2 linked regions of the Mus musculus genome follow. The protein of the gene in region 2 interacts with the protein of the main gene of each other region in a pairwise test. Links are inferred from orthologs where the notes say so. Each region holds a gene or a part of one and is shown on either strand. Other genes may lie near its edges.

Region 1 (3,749 bases), on a different chromosome or scaffold from region 2:
GAGCTTACCTTAAGCGGAGTGGGGGCGGGCAGCTAGCCTTTCCTAGTTTGTACCTGCTGAGACCAGTACTTGTCCAGTTCCTCGCGGTTCTTCTGAGCCAGCGCTTCATACTGGGCGCGGATGTCCGCCATGATCTTGCTGAGGTCCTGAGATTTGGGGGCATCCACTTCCACAGTCAATCCAGAGCTGGCAATCTGGGCTTCCAGACCTTGGACTTCCTAAAGAAGGCAGAAATAAAGGGGGGTGGCAGGTGACACTTAAAGTCAGTTCAGCCCAGCCTTTCATTACTGATGGCCTTTTCTAGAAGGTGATGTTGAGTGTAAAGGCAGAAGAGAGCAGAGGAAACCCTTGGCAAGCCTAAGACTGGGCTTCTGCTCCAGCTGGTTGGGAATGCCACTCCTTGACAGCCTGAACCTGCCACTCGCTGGTGATATCCTCTCCTCGTTGTAGCTGCTTTTTCCTTCCACAGATCTTACCTTAAGCTTCTTCCAGAAGGCCCACATGAGCACCAGCTCCTAAGACTGGCAGTCCCCACCTTTGCCTCCAACTCAGGGTCTTACTCACACAATCTCTGTTTTACTAGACTAAGACAGGATGGCATTGAACTCAATCCTCCTGTCTCAGCTTTCCAGGAGGTAGTGATGCACAAGCCAGGCCTTAACTGGCTTAATGTTATCTTGACTCTCAATAGTGTAACTTAGGTGAGCCATAGAACATGTGTGAGCCAATGGCTCTGCTCTTAATCAAAACAGGCTAACAGCCGGGGCTTCTGCTTCCATGCTAGGCTGCTTTGGGGGCAGCCTGGCCCGCCTAGTCTTGGCCCTTAGCTCCTAGGCCTGGTCAGTGGCCCGGCTTACCTCTTCATGATTCTTCTTCATGAACAGAAGTTCTTCCTTGAGTGCCTCGATTTCTGTCTCCAGCTGCAGCCTTGTGATGTTGGTGTCATCTACCACCTTGCGGAGTCCATGGATGTCGCTCTCCACAGACTGGCGCATGGCTAGTTCTGTCTCATACCTGAAGGAGTGGAGGTGATCAGAGGGCCTGAACCTTCTCAACCAGTGCCACCTCCATAGACTAGCCCCGTGCCCACCATAAACAGTCACGGAGTCATTCCCTTAGCACGATTCTTGGCCTTGGAGCGTTTGCTTAAACTGGGCTGCACAGATGAAGAGCTAACTCAGTAGTCAATGAACCCTAACCTGAATAAACTTCGGAAAGGAAGGAACCCTACTCTAATACAGTTCTGGGAGTAGGCCATTCTTAGCTCCAGCTGCAGCCCCGGACTTACTTGACTCTAAAGTCATCGGCGGCAAGGCGGGCATTGTCGATCTGCAAGACGATGCGGGCATTGTCCACAGAATTCGCAAAGATCTGGGTGGATTAAAGTGGAGAGAGTCGCTTTGAGAGTTCCGGGTCACATGAGGGTGTGTGTGTGTGTGTGTGTGTGTGTGTGTGTGTGGAGAAGTGGGGGATGAGAAAACACGTCTTGTGTTTCAGTGAATCCATCCCAGTCCCAGGAACAGTCAGAGGCGTGTATTTCTGTCTTCCCTTCCCACCTGAGCCTCCTCTCCCTTCCTGGATTCCTTGCCCCTCTGCCAGGGCCTGCACTATCTGGATTGCTTACAAAAGAGCAGCTTCCAACAAGATTTCTCTGATCCTCTCCTGGCATCTTCTCCAGGTGCACCTGCTAACCCCCCCCCCCCCCCCCGTCCTGGGACGCGCCCCCCCCCCCCACTTGTCCCGCTGGCCCCTCCTACAGGTAAGCTCCTGTTTACTCCTAGATGACTCAGCCTTAGCCACATCCGCTTAACCCTCTAACTGTTCCTACTGGAAAAGAAGTGAGTGTCTGAGTTCATTTTATGATTCCCCCACACACACCTTTTTATTTTATTTTTTTTCCAATCCTGTTCTCTTCCCACTACACTGCTTGGGGGAAGCCGGCTCGCGTGTGTAACCACTACGCTTGGAATTCCTACAGGTTGTGGGTGAGAGTCCAGAGTATTCCTAACTCCGTCCCATAGAGTGTGTGTGGGGGGATGTGGTGAATGTGGAAAGAGTGGAGGGAGTCAACAGCCCACACTCTATTCAAGTTTGGGGGTGTGGGCACACTGGATAGACAGAACAGCCCGGAGCTACTGCCCCTCCCCCCTTAGGCCCCTTACCTGAGCCCTCAGGTCTTCGATGATCTTGAAGTAGTGGCCCCAGTCTCTGACGCCCTGGGGCCCCTTCTTCTCCAGATGTTCCCGGATTTTGCTCTCCAGTCTCCTGTTCTCAGTTTCCAGGCTCTTCACCTTGTCTAGGTAGCTGGCCAGGCGATCGTTCAGGTCTTGCATGGTCTCCTTCTCGGTCTGGATTCCACCCATTCCCGCCAGGCCTGCGGACCCCACAGAGCCACCCCAGACAGAGCGGGACACGGATATCCGGGACCCGGAGCCCCCAGCACCTGCATAGACGCTGGCTGCGCTGCTGGCAGGCCGGACCCGCTGGCTGGGAGTTCGCACAGAGCCCAGGGACCGGTAGTTGGTGGAGAAGGTGGTGGAGCGAGTTGTGAAGCTCATCTTGTCTGGAGAGGAGAGCGAAGCGAGAGACCAGAACAGGAGTTCCGCCGCGGAGGGTGGCAGTCCTCGACCTGTTGTTATATCGCCGCGGGAGGAGGTAGGGACCTCCCCCAGCAGGCCACGCCCCAGCCACCGGAGCCGGGGGCGCCAGGATCGGGATTCCTGTGACCTAACAGGTCGCAGCCCTTCTCCACTTCTGCACACGCCCTCAGCATACCTGCCATCCTCACCGACACAGGGAGTGGATAACTAAGGGGTGCACAAAGGATAGCAGGTGGTGTTAGCCCCTGAGTGTCTGTTTTCAGGGCAAAAAATGGCGTTTTAAATATCCGTTTATTCCGGGCGTGGTGGCGCACGCCTTTATCCCAGCACTTGGGAGGCAGAGGCAGGCGAATTTCTGAGTTCGAGGCCAGCCTGGGCTACAGAGTGAGTTCCAGGACAGCCAGGGCTACACAGAGAAACCTTATCTCGAAAACAAACAAACAAACAAACAAACAAACAAACTCCATTTACACAGACAGAAGAGGGGTTCACTAGGGTGAAGATTTTGTGGCATGTCGCCAGCTTAAGTCTGGGGGCAGTCCTAGAACCCCAGGAATCCTGGGGAAAGAAAATTGGGAGCTCAAAAAGAAGAGAAACACGAACCTGAGGGCAGGTCTCTTGGTTTTTCTGCTCCGGCCCCATGGTTCCAAGACACTGCTGTGGCTCCATAGGGAACCGTGGAAATACATATCCTCAAACGCGTGGGTACACATGTCCTCATTCAACTCATTCCCTGGAGGCTTTATCGGGGCCTTTGTGATTATGTAGAAGAGGTATCCCTATGTCTGGACACCTACCATTTACCTCCTCCTCCTCCTCCTCCTCCTCCTTCTTTTTTGAGACAGGGTCTCATGTAGCTCGGGCTGGTCTTGAACTTTCCATGTAGCTGAGGATGGCCTTCAACTCCTGATCTTCCCGTCCCACTTTTGAAGTGCTGGGATCCCAGGCATGAGACTCCATCACTTTCAGGTTACAGGGTGCTGAGGACCAAACCCAAGGCCTCATACTCCTCAGGCAGACCACTTTACCAGCTGAGAACACAGCCAACCCAAGAGCACATAGATTTAACCAGTATTTGCTAGACACCTTCTAGTAGCTATGGGAACAGCAAGGAAGAGAGAACCACTGTCCTTCCTGTAGATTATACTG
Region 2 (3,649 bases):
GAATAAAACACAAAGGAAAGAATTAAAATTTCATTACCAACATATTTAATCTATTCTCAGAAAGCTGCAACTCATAAATGTGGACAATGAAAAGTAAAATGCCATTTCATAGCAAGGGAAATCATTTTTCAGAAGAGAATCATTATTAAGTCCATTTTTGGTTTTGGTTTTTGGTTTTTCTTTAAAGCTTGCTTTTTAGCTGCATCTCCAATTGGTTCTGTTTCTTTCTAAACCAAAACTAAAGAAAATCAGGGTGGCAAGCAGTAAGGAAAGAATAATAAAAAGGTACATGTGGGGGTATCTGCATGTGTGCGAGAGAGTGTGCAGTGTGTGTGTGTGTGTGTGTGTGTGTGTGTGTGTGTGTGTGTGTGTGGTGCAGCTACTGGGAGGTCTTTAGGTCACAGCTTAGAAGGGCTGTTAGGACTGCAGACCCTTTTGTGCCCTGAGGTAAACAGCTTCCTCTACCACTCAATATCCTTCATAATGTGTTCTACTGCAGGGACCCAAAGCATTGAGCCAAAAAAGTCACGGAATGAAGGCTGCAAAACTCGGAGGTGAAATTAACCTTGCTCTTGCAATGCGTAAAGAGATTTGCTCAGGGATGCAGAAGACACGGAAATGAGTAAGACAGCAAGAGAAGAATCGTCCCCAGGTCCTATCCAGTCCCGAATTTCTGGGTTTTGGTATTTAAATTTATCTTAGTGGTTGCGCAGAGCAATGAGCTTCAGTGTTCCATTTTCATAATGTACCTCCTTGACCTTCACTCACAGACCGAGCTTACCCAGTCCCTTCCTCTGTCCCCTTTCAGATGAGGCTTCTGTCCCACCCTGCCCCAGGTCCTCCTGCAGGGATCTGCCCCAGTGGAGCAGTGCACTGCCCACTCCGTCCCACTGGGTTGTCCTTTTTGTTTGCCCACACATTATAGTTGACATAATTGTCTTTTAAAAATTTATTTTTAGCTAATATATAAAATAATGTGATTCATGGTGATATTTTTGTTATAGTCTGCTATTTTTCACACCCCACCGCCCTCCCTAATCCTGACTCACTTCTTGTTAGTCCCTTTCCCTTCACCCAGTAATCTGTTAGCTTTTATGACGTGTATATTTTATTACAATTTCTCACTCCCCAACTCCCCACTCTCTTTAAACTTCTTCCCTCCATGGTCCCCTTTCTATACTCTATCTATCTATCTATCTATCTATCTATCCATCCATCCATCAATCCACCCACCCACCTATCCATCTATCTATATTCCACATATTTAAAAAAAAAACCCACTTGATATCTTTCAGTAATCTGGCTTCTTTCACTTAATGTAATGATCTCCAGGTCTGTCCACTTCCTTGCAGATGTTAGAATTTCACTCTCTATAGCTGAATAAAATTCCCTGGAGCAAGCTACTTCTTGCTTTGTGATTTCTGATGTTCTGATCGCTCTCTCCTTGGGGCAGGGTCTATTCTCTGTTACCTTGCCTATCTCTTCTGTTAAATTGCCCTGAGGCAGCTTCTCATCATCATCTCACCCAAAGTTTCTAGAACTTCCATTCTTAACTTGAACTGTCTTTGATCTTTGTTATTTGGTTTTTTTGTTTTTTTGTTTTTTTGTCTTTTTTGTTTTTTTTGTTTTTTTGTTTTTTTTTTTTGAGACAGGGTCACATGTAACCCAAGCTGGCCCTTGACTCCCTCTGTAAACTAATATGATCTTGAACTTCTGATCTTTCTACCTCCACTTCCCACATGCTGGCATGACAGAAACGTGCCACCACCTCCAGTTTTACACGGGGCTAGGTCTCAGGCCTTTGGGCTTCATCTTTGCTAGACAAGCACTGCCCCAACTGAGCTGCTTCCTGGCATGCACTGCTGCATTTCTATTAATCACGTACACTCCTTACTTCTTCTGCATATCTACTGTTACCATAATAATTCAGATCATTGTTGTAGTAATTAAACTTTTATAAGTTTTAGCCCCCAACTTACACAAGCAGGATAGCAAATAGTTGTTCTAACTTAAGACAGGATTTCCCACCTTTGGATCTTTCTCTATACTCACTCCTTTGATTAGCATTTCTCCCCAGTTCATCTAATTGGGGTAATAATTTAATTCAGTTTTATCAAGACAGAACAAACCCACAAAGCCTTCAGTTTTGCAAGAACTAACTTCACCGTCTCCCGGGTTACCGTGATTCGTACCAGCATCATGCTTATGCTTAGGAAGAAAACCTTATGCTCAAATAGTCTTAGGTTTTAGTGACAAATATAAAAAGCAGATAGAATGTGTAAGAGCTTTATCTCTGCCACCCACCCATCCAAACAGTCACCTCCTAAGACTACAGATATTGCTTCAATATTCTAATTAGGAACCAATCCCTGAATCAGTACCAAAATATTTTTAATGTTATAAAATTATATTAGGTCGCTGGAAAAACTATGTTGTGAAAACATGACCGAGGAGAGGAAATCAGAAGTTAGTGGCCAAAGTCACAGGCAAGGTTTCAATGGAAAAAGATGGCCCGGCTGTTCTTACTTCTCTTTCCTGCTGCCCAGCTGGCGGGCTGTGTATTGGTCCCCATAGTCAATCAACACCAGCTGTCGAGAAAACACATTGACTTTGTTGCCTATAAATAGATCTTCCAGGCGCAGGTCCTCATACTTGGTCCGCTTTAAGAAGGTGCGACGATTCTTTACATCATGCTAGAAACAGACACAGTAAGAATACTTATGAAGAACGTACGCCTTACAGAGAAAAGTCTCCAATTGATTTTACAAAAGACAGCTATATCCTATTACTTTATAACTACGTATATAAATTATATTTTATACTGTGAAGCTTTATTTCCAATCCAATCTAGTGATAAAAGTTTGTAATTAAAATATATATTTTAGAATATCCTAAATAGACCAAGTTATTTCAGTAACTCACCAGCTATGAGTGACAGAGACAGATTCTCATATTTCTTTTTATGTACACATCCCAATCACTAAAAAAAATTGTATTTCCTTTAAGAGATGTGTATTCATGTGTGTCTCCCTTTCTGTGGGTAGGTACATGTGAGTGAAGGTGCAGAAGTCACTGTTGGCTTGCCAGCAGCTGGAGTTACAGTTGCTGTGAGCGGCTCGGTGTAGGTGCCGGGAACCAAACTTGGGACCTACAAGGGCAGCTAGCACCCTTAACTGAGCCTTCTCTCTAGGCTCCAACCCCAACTGAGCTGACTTTTTAAAGTGATTGCCAATGAAGTGATGCAAAGAAAGGGACCCTCTTAGAGCCTCTTTAATTTGACATTTTATACAGATACCAACTTTTAACCGTAATATTTATGACTATGATAACCATTTATCTGTAACTACTTATCAAATATTGATTAATCCCAAAAAACAGTTGTCCTACTTCATTTTGGGGTCTCTCTATATATCTACTTCTATATATGTGTGTTATATGCAAGTGTGCATCCCTACAAACATACATGATATAGGAGGTTGCCTGATGTCTTCTTCAGTCATTTCTCACATTATTGTCTTAACACAGGCTCTCTCACTGAACCTGAAGTTTGCTTTAAGTTGGGTCAGCTGGCCAGAGAGCTCCAGGGAGCTCCTGCCTCTGTTACTCAGGATTGGAGTTCTCACAGGGAACAAGGCCCAGCCATTATGTA

Evidence for each region.
Region 1: the proteins of Nme7 (region 2) and Krt18 interact in binary tests that used the Homo sapiens proteins (3 or more experiments, as listed by UniProt). The two-hybrid records come from large-scale screens. The link is inferred for Mus musculus from reciprocal best matches to the Homo sapiens genes NME7 and KRT18.

What each region holds. Positions count from the first base shown.
Region 1 is NC_000081.6:102,027,088-102,030,836, reverse strand, and holds the start of Krt18 (keratin, type I cytoskeletal 18), read right to left. Parts: upstream 2,622-3,749; 5' UTR 2,559-2,621; coding exon 2,163-2,558; intron 1,372-2,162; coding exon 1,289-1,371; intron 1,015-1,288; coding exon 858-1,014; intron 219-857; coding exon 54-218; intron 1-53. UniProt on the Homo sapiens protein: Involved in the uptake of thrombin-antithrombin complexes by hepatic cells. When phosphorylated, plays a role in filament reorganization. Involved in the delivery of mutated CFTR to the plasma membrane.
Region 2 is NC_000067.6:164,331,656-164,335,304, reverse strand, and holds part of Nme7 (nucleoside diphosphate kinase 7), read right to left. Parts: intron 2,694-3,649; coding exon 2,527-2,693; intron 1-2,526. UniProt on the Homo sapiens protein: Possesses an intrinsic kinase activity. Displays 3'-5' exonuclease activity with a preference for single-stranded DNA. Does not seem to have nucleoside diphosphate kinase activity.